2 linked regions of the Daphnia pulex genome follow. The protein of the gene in region 2 binds, or shares a complex with, the protein of the main gene of each other region. Links are inferred from orthologs where the notes say so. Each region holds a gene or a part of one and is shown on either strand. Other genes may lie near its edges.

Region 1 (4,310 bases), about 10 Mb from region 2:
CGTTTATTTTTTAATTTTTTTTTTATTCAAACGGAGCAGCGACATTCCAAATTAAATGGCGAATTTGAATTGGAAAAGAAAACAAGGCAAGGGTTTACAAAAAATAATGGCCTGACTCTGTATTATTAAATCTCCCGACCATCATCAACCATGTTTTTTTTCTATTTTGGTTTTTACATAACACACACCTTTTTTCCCCCCACGTTTTTACTTCAAACAAACTTGTGTGATGGTTCTTTTTTCTCGTGTGTAGAATTTCTTCCCCCCGTTTCTTTTGTGTATACTCGAACCTCCCCCCCGCCCTTCAAAACTTTTGTATATCAAGCTTTGTGAAACCTTGATTACCTTTTTTTTTTTTTATATACAAATCAATGTAGGTGTTCCACACATTTCTTCTCTATATACCTATTTAGCTTTTTCTCTCCTTGATCATGATCGTGGCCCTCCCAATATCTTTCGAATAATGTCCTAACTTGGATATCGTGTAAGTAACGCTGCTATATCAGGAAATGTACATTTCTTGCCTTGCCCGTTGATTTCATTTCATTCTTTCTTTAATTGGCTTTACTGATACTGATAAGCCTTTGCACTTTGGAAGTTGAAATGAGTGGAGAAATAACGAGAAAAATTTGGATATTCTTGTGAAAAGGCGAATCTATATTGATGCACATGGTACAAATACGAATGACATTTCACAAGAGGTAATTTTTTTTACAGCCAAATTTCAGCAGCTTTTGTCCAAGTGGGAACTCGTGGTGGTAATTAGTTTTCTGGTTCTGGATGACAGCTGACCCAGAATTACCTAGTGAAAGAACAGAACAGTTAGAGACAATTTACACGGCGTCATTAAAACTAGTGAACTTACCTAAGAATCAGACTGCCATTTGCTTCCATGTGACTGCGAGTGGTTGAGAATGGATTTACTTGGAGCGAGCACGCATCTTCCTGCGCTTACGCTTAAGCCTACGCATACGCTTCTTACGCCACTAAAGAAAGAAAGAGCCGGCCATTAGATTCACAAGCCTCGAGACAAGCATCACAGTACACCGATACATGAAACACATAGAATAGGTAGAAAAACGATAATTACCTTAGCTCTCATGATGCAGTCGGTCTCTAAATGAAACAAGGAAAACGAAACAGTCGGTTAGAGATGTTGAAAACGAGGCAATTGTTGGATGATATTGGATTTTGTTAACTCAGTAAAACCAAGAATGAACTTACCTAGGAAAGACTGCAGAGAAGAGTGAGAGAGCCAGTGCCTGATGGTCTCCTACATTGCCTATTTCCGTTTCCACTCCTTTCTTTAAAAATAGTTGAAATATTATATCGTAAAACATATTAAAACCTATATTAATTTGATGCTAGAAAAATTAGCAATTTTATTATGGGTAAAGTATTGTTTTAATTAATATTTTAGTAAATAAATTTGATAACTGGCACAATGCAAACCCGCTGTCGGGGTTGTTTACAACGAAAAAAAAAAGGAAAAATGGAGTTCGATATGAATCAGATATCTCAAACAAGTAATTCAAACGCGAAAATTGAAGCATCTGAAAGTCAAAACAGTGAAGTTCCAAGTGAAAACAGTGCAGTTCAACCTGTAGAACCAGAAAATGTCGACTCCAATACCCTTGCGGCCGTATTACAGTTTCTTCAGAAGCACAACCTGAAAGTAACTGAAAATGACATGATTATTTTTAAATTTCGGCGTCTCATTTATTTACAATGTATTAGGGGACGGCTGATATTTTGAAAAAAGAAGCACGGCTCAAGGAGGATCAATTACGAGATGCACAAGCTCTTCAAGTGGATTCAGAGGCAACAAATTTGCTCTCATCATACAAGAGCGAAGGAGACCCAAATGCCTACGAAAAAGCTTACCTAAGTTACAGGAGATTTGTGGAAAGCTCGCTGGATGTTTATAAAGTATGGTCAAAAGATATTCAACTCAATTTCAAATAATAATTTCAATTTGTTTACTTTTCAGCATGAGCTGTCCCTAGTATTGTACCCTTTATTTGTCCACATGTATTTGGAAATGATTTACAACCAACATGAATCAGAAGCCGCTAAATTTATGGAACGTTTTTCAACAGATCAGGAAGATTATTATCAGGATGATCTTAAAAAAGTTTCTTTTATTACCAAAAAAGAACACATGAAAGGCAGTGATCTCATGGAGAATTTCAAGTAACAAATCACTTTTTTTTTAAATAAAATCGTCAATCATAAAAACTTAAATTGTTAAACAGATCAAGTCAGTTCACCGTTCGAATGTCCCGGGATACTTACTCGGTTTTGAAGCGGTTTTTGCAGGACAAGAACCAATCAATTGTCATGAACGTCATTCAGGAACACTTGTACGTCGACATGTACGAAGGAGTGCCGAGAAATAAAGCCCAAGTTGAATCCACAGCCGGAGCCATGGAAGGCGAGGCCAACAGACAAGGTACACAAATCAAGAGATTAGAAAGAAATCCCCAAAACAATTACCAATTCTTTTCACTTACAGTAAACAAGACCAAAATCTACTATGGTCTGCTCAAAGAGCCCGATATCCAGCTTCCGGTAGTCGAGGAGGAAGAGGACGGAGAACCCGGCGAAGGTGGTGAAAAGCCCAAAAAGAAGAAACCCAAAAAGGATCCGTTGCTCAACAAGAAAGCCAAGAGCGACCCTAATGCTCCACCGGCCAGCCGATTGCCATTACCAGATTTGTAAGATGCAGATGCAGTGAAAAATGGTGTGGAAAAAAAGGAAAATGGTTGAGCTGTGAGTTTCTGTTTCAGGAGAGATATCGACAAACTGGAGAAGGTCAGGGCCCTACGAGAAGCCAGCAAGAGGGTGGCTCTTGGTCCAGACAATTTGCCGTCCATTTGTTTCTACACGATGCTGAATTGCGCGGAAACGTCAGTTATTCTAATTTACCTGATTTTTTCCATTCAATTTGAAATTATAATTTTTTTTCTTTTTCCCTTTTTGTGAATGACAGGGTCACGTGCGTCGAATTCTGCGAGGATTCGTCACTATTAGCCGTAGGGTTTTCCGATTCCATCCTCAAAGTTTGGAGTCTTGTACCCCAGAAACTCCGGGCCATGAAACCGGCCGAGCAATTGGCCGATATCGACAAGGAGGCCGAAGATGTTCTCGTTCGTATGATGGACGACAAGACGGGTGAGACTATGAAAGTCCTTCACGGCCATTGCGGGCCGGTTTACGCTGCCTCGTTCAGTCACGACCGGACGTTACTCTTATCATCGTCGGAAGACGCCACGATCCGGCTGTGGAGTTTGCAGACGTGGACCTGCCTGGTGGTCTATAAAGGCCACATTTACCCCGTGTGGGACGTGAGGTTTTCCCCTCACGGCTACTATTTCTCATCAGTCGGACATGATCGGACTGCCAGACTTTGGGCCACCGATCATCACCAGCCTTTAAGGATCTTTGCCGGCCATTATTCAGACGTTGACGTGGTCCAATTCCATCCCAATTCCAATTACGTCGCCACAGGTTCCAGCGATAGGAGCGTCCGTTTATGGGATTGCGTAACTGGCAACTGTGTCCGGCTAATGACTGGTCATAAAGTAAAAACATTTTCATCCTTTTTATGAGTTTGTTTTTCTTTACAAGTTTTTTGTTTGTGTAGGGAACCGTCTCGGCGTTGTGTTTCTCCACCGACGGCCGTTTTCTGGCATCCGGTGGAGCTGATCAAAAAGTCCTGTTATGGGATCTGGCTCACGGTCACTTATTGGCCGACCTGCCTGGGCACACGATGACAATCTCCAGTTTGGCCTTCAGTCGAGACGGGACCGTGTTCGCCACGTCTTCCCTGGACGGCTCCATCCAACTGTGGGATTTCTTCCGGATGACGGATGAGTCCTCTTTAGAGGACGTCAACATCTCGGGTCACAATCCAGACCTTCTCAAGCGGAGTAACGCCATTGAATCGCTCCGCCTGGCACGTTACCCGACCAAAGCCACTCCTGTCATGTCATTGCATTTCACGCGGAGGAATTTGCTACTCGCTGCCGGCATGTTTGAAGGCTAATCCCTCGATTCACACCAATTTTTAAAAAATAATAATAAGAATTAAAATACATATAACTTTGTCTCTTATTTCCACAGATCCATTTTGTTGTTGTCAAGTCGGGAAAAACCAAATTCTGTCGAGTTGGCTACGTATTTTTCGTAAACGTGCCTAGTGAACCTCGAGACCGCTGTATAAATAGAAGATAATCGACCTGGTTTTTTCCGAGTCGATCTAGAAGTTTCCAGTTTGAGTCAGTCCGAATGGTTAAATTCCTATTGCT
Region 2 (4,578 bases):
ATAAACAATTTCCTGGTGCATATTTGATTTCACGCTCACGTATAGACCTATTGTTGTTTGAAAGCTTGACTTTAACGACCGCAAACACCTCCCTTTTGATTTTTCTCTTGCCAAACGTGTAAAAAACAAAAACGAAGTGCGTCATCCATTGAAAATGACTGAATTTTCTCCGGCGGATGCATGTGTACGGTTTCCTGTGCGGTTCTCTTTTATTTTTTTAAAAAATAAGACAAACGAATAGAATTTTATTTCCTACTTTTTTGTTAAACCACTTCAAAAAGTCCATAACTGAAGAAGAGAAAGATGGATCGGATGTTTATCGCATTCCTATGACCCCGTCAACGCGAACTGCGTTTCATTTTTCTTCTTTTTCAAAGAAAAATCTAAAAAAAACATTTCCAATAAATCGTTGGGTAGGAATCCAACAGATGGCATTGAAACTCGCCATGTTTTTAATGCGCAATTTTCTTGGCATTGGCAATCGAAAATGATCGCCAGTGGGGGGGAAACAACAAAAAAGAAATGGAAGAAAGGGAATGATCAAAAGAATGTCAGTAGCGTTCAAATCAGAAAAGGCTTGAGGCGCACGCACCAACTCGCGCTGAGTCATCACCCGCAAACGCATTCTTCCCCGTCGACCGGAATTTAAAATGTAAAACATTTCTGTATTGAGAAATAATGCTCCGAGCGTTCGCATTGCCTCACTCTGTGGCATCCGCGCACCCAGCAAATCAACTTTGACGTTTACAACACACACGTACACAAAAGAGTGTCAAAAAACACCCCACAAAATCGGATGGAGGGAAAAGAATCATGATCAACCGCAACAACAACAAGTTGTTGCGGTTCCAACCCCCCATGAAAATGCTAATTAGAAAAAAGAAGATTGTGTTTTTAAACATGATGGGCAATTAATATAACGGGCGATCGAGGCACAGACGCACTTAAAACATTTGTAAATTGTTTAGTTTGGTTTTTTTAGAACCACAAACCTCCGTCGTCATCCTCATCACGGGATGAATTTGGGCGGTTCGAGTGGTGACGACTACGACCTTTGTTATTGGCGCTGGCAGCAACGGGTTGGTCATCGCGAATTTCACCTTCTTCCTCCGACTCGCTGACTTGCAAATCGTCGCGAATGTCCTCGTCTTTACTGGGCCCGCACGAAAAGAATTCCGCTTCCGGATCGTAATTGGCGTCCACGTCCACCACGTCCATGGCGACCTCTTCCAACTCTTCGTCGTCGTCATCCTCGTCTTCGTCCTCCTCTTTTTCACTGGCCGAGTACTGAAGGTCGTCCAGCACGTCGGTTGCCTTCCGCTTAGATCCGCGTGGAGACGAGAAACTGACCCGCGGAGAATTTCCCTTTGGAGTCGGTGACCTGTTGATAAAAATGACATTAATTGATGACAAATAATTCCGGATGAGAAAATATGATACCCTTTGTTTTTGGCTGGACGGCCTCGCTTGCCCTTGGGTTTCACTGCGCCGGAAGGCCCAGGTTGAGCGAAATTATTCGAGGCCGATTTCCTGCTTTTCTTAGTCGGCCGGACAGGCGATTCGGCTTCGGGATCCCATTCGTCCTCACCGGGACGATCTGGCGTTTCCATCATGTCCATCGACTCCATCATGTACTCATCCTCGTAACCTTCTTCACCCACGTCGAGGAAATCGTTTTCGGCTTGCTCCATGGCCTTCTTCTGAGCAATGCGGATATTACTCTCCAATTGAGTCAGGTGGTCGTCGTACTGCGACGTAATAAAATAGAAAGGGAAAATTAGCATTTCTTGAAAAGAACCAAAATGGATGACATTACCTCTTCGAGAGTATCTCGACAAATACGTCCAAGGGCACGGGCCTTCTCTGTAAACTGCGACTCCTCTCCGTTGTAGGCGATGCTGTTCTCCAGGATCAGGTCGACGTCGTAGAGGAACTCTTCGCGGTTGTGGTACTTGTGCGCTTTGACTTTCTTGGCCACCGTTTCCAAATCCATCGGATTTTTGACGATGGTGTAGTAATCTTTGACGAATTTCTTGTTGACGGGCTTGAGGAACGGCCAGGCCTCTGGCAGAGGCTTCAACTTTCCGTTGATGATGTTGTCGAGGACGTAGGAAAAGGCCACCTGATCGTCGTCATCCAGCAACGGATTGATGGCCTTTTCCAGCCTCATGAACCTCTCTTCCTTCTGGGAAAGCCTTTCGATGCAGAGATCCAGCATCCGCTTGGCAGCTGTGGTCAAAATGCTTTTATCTCCATTATACAACGTGGAATTCTCCAGGATGAGGTTGACGTCGGACAGGAAATCCTCACGGCTCTGGTATCGTTTTTGCCGGATGTTTTCCCGGATCGTCTGAAGGTCCATAGGTCGAGTAACGATCCGGTAATAATCCGGCACTGTTTTGCTGCTCACCGGGAACAGGAAAGGCTGGACATCGGGTAATTCCCTCATCTCATTGAGGATTTCCTCCAACATGGTGGAAAGTGTCACGACAGGGTCAGTCCTTCGTCGATTGGCCGTCTTAGTTGTATGTCTGCTCAGGTAGTCGCAATGCGTCACTGTACCTGCTCGCCTTCTCTTTCGACCCGACATGGCTTCCTTGGGCACTGTGAACAATCAAAAATCAATGTCAGGTAATCCCCCCCAAATATAAAATCAATAATAAACAAACCTTTAAGAACTAGCGAACGTCGCTTGATTTCCTCGGCGTGTTTGACCAGCTTGCCGGACAATTTCACTTTGGTACCGTCGACATTGACCAATTCTTCATCTTCGCTAAAGATTTGCTTTTCAATTTCCTCCTCTTGATCCTCCGTCATGGCCACAACCATCGGTGGCAACGGGGTGGTGTTTTGATAGAGCGGGCAAGCTTTATTGGTCCTCATGTGACCCACCTATCGATACATTAGCATAATTAATAAACAGAAACAAGGCCGTTAATTACAAGGAAAGTTACCTGTCCGCAGGCACCGCATTTCATTTTCAAATCGGGCTTCATCTTGACTTTACGACGGCGATTGTTAACGATGCCTAATTTCTCTTTTTCTTGATTGCGTTTGAGTCGTCTGAGTTGCTCCTGGATTCGACGTTTCTCACGTTTCATTTCCTCCTTTTGGTGCTCGTCGGGCGTGGCAAACTGTTTGATGAAGGCGTCATCTTTGGTCGTTCGTATTCGGACGTAAGTGTCGATGATGGCCGGTTTGCGAACCAATTCAACGCGGGTGTAGTCTTTGCCCTCGGCGTTTTTGAAGGTCCGGAAAATTTTGAGCACTCGACCGGCCTGTCCGGCTCCTGCCAGCGGCGGTTGAGATGAACTGTCTTCTTCGTCCAGTCCTACACGGCTCTTATCTTTCTTCATGGAGCCCGATCCTTCGCCGAGGATCATCTTTTGCAATTCACGACGCTCCTGTTCTTCCCGCTCTCGGCTCAACTGGCTGGACGTCTTTTTATTGGCCAGCATGTTTTCAATGTTTTTACCCATTTCTTCGATATCAGAAATGTCTTCCTCCTCTTCGCTTTCGCCTTCGTCGGTGGACAAAACTTCGTTCGAGGCCAGGACTCGGTTTTGAAGATCAAAAATGCGTTGACACTCCTCCTTGTATCGCTCCTGATGCTCGGCAATGGAGAAGCGATTACCACGGGAGAATTTGTCCATGCCTTCCTCGCCGGCCTTGGCCTTTTCGGTGGAAAGTGTTCGGACGACGTCAATAACTTCCCAGCGGGAGAGTTTCTTGATTTCCTCCTCAGGTACGCCGTGTTTCCTCAAAATTGCTTTTGCGTTGTTGAGTGACAATCGACGCAAATCGGCGTCGGTGCCCGTCACAATACGTTTAGGTTGAGATTCCAGCTCTTCCTTGTTGATGGTCGGTTTGTTGGGAACGCGGACGTAGGAGAAACCTTCGCCACAACCGGTAGGATCTGCCGGACCTGTTAATTGCAGGAGACATTTGTTTTTCATGGCCTGGACGTAGGCGCGGGTGGTGTTCCATGGGGCTACTTTGACTTCGTCGTCCATTTTCAGTTGCTGGTCTTCGTCGTCATCCTGCTCAGGTGCGAAAAGGAATTTCTCACCGTAACCGGCGTCTTTCAAACGCTGTTCGGCCGCGATCATACTGAAATAGGCGCAACATTGCTCCGGCGACACTAACGCTCGAAGCTCTTCTTCCGAAGGTAACCGGAAATCCGGCCGCAATACCCACCTGTTGAATTTGTCGGTAACCAAAAATGAGCAATTTGGACATCCGTTGGAGTATGAATTATTATACTACGAAATACCAATTGGAGTCGACTCCTGTTCGCTTAAAGTCCGCGCATAGTTTCAACCGTTTGCGGATACTGCTTTCGGAATGTGCTGGGAAAGCTCGTTTAATGTCATCCATGCGGATACGACGTGGAGTGTCGGGGCTCTTCCAAAACAGTCGGTAGATAAAGACCTGAATTAAAATAAACATTTTGTTTGGATGTTTCATAGAAGACTATTAGAATGACTTTAGTTGAATACTTGTAGGAAATCGCGGGTAAAGTTGTTGGCTCTTTTAGAATTCGGACCGGGCACTTCGTACAGTGGACATTCCTGACCG

Evidence for each region.
Region 1: transcription initiation factor TFIID subunit 1-like (region 2) and transcription initiation factor TFIID subunit 5-like share a complex: the UniProt entries of both Caenorhabditis elegans proteins name them as parts of the TFIID basal transcription factor complex. The link is inferred for Daphnia pulex from reciprocal best matches to the Caenorhabditis elegans genes taf-1 and taf-5.

The regions. Positions count from the first base shown.
Region 1 is NC_060026.1:1,543,915-1,548,224, forward strand, and holds transcription initiation factor TFIID subunit 5-like, read left to right. Parts: upstream 1-1,457; 5' UTR 1,458-1,492; coding exon 1,493-1,675; intron 1,676-1,737; coding exon 1,738-1,929; intron 1,930-1,990; coding exon 1,991-2,193; intron 2,194-2,255; coding exon 2,256-2,452; intron 2,453-2,515; coding exon 2,516-2,717; intron 2,718-2,789; coding exon 2,790-2,909; intron 2,910-2,992; coding exon 2,993-3,584; intron 3,585-3,646; coding exon 3,647-4,048; 3' UTR 4,049-4,116; downstream 4,117-4,310. UniProt on the Caenorhabditis elegans protein: The TFIID basal transcription factor complex plays a major role in the initiation of RNA polymerase II (Pol II)-dependent transcription.
Region 2 is NC_060026.1:11,812,897-11,817,474, forward strand, and holds the end of transcription initiation factor TFIID subunit 1-like, read right to left. Parts: coding exon 4,500-4,578; intron 4,432-4,499; coding exon 4,274-4,431; intron 4,198-4,273; coding exon 2,955-4,197; intron 2,893-2,954; coding exon 2,670-2,892; intron 2,605-2,669; coding exon 1,817-2,604; intron 1,749-1,816; coding exon 1,441-1,748; intron 1,382-1,440; coding exon 979-1,381; 3' UTR 645-978; downstream 1-644. UniProt on the Caenorhabditis elegans protein: The TFIID basal transcription factor complex plays a major role in the initiation of RNA polymerase II (Pol II)-dependent transcription.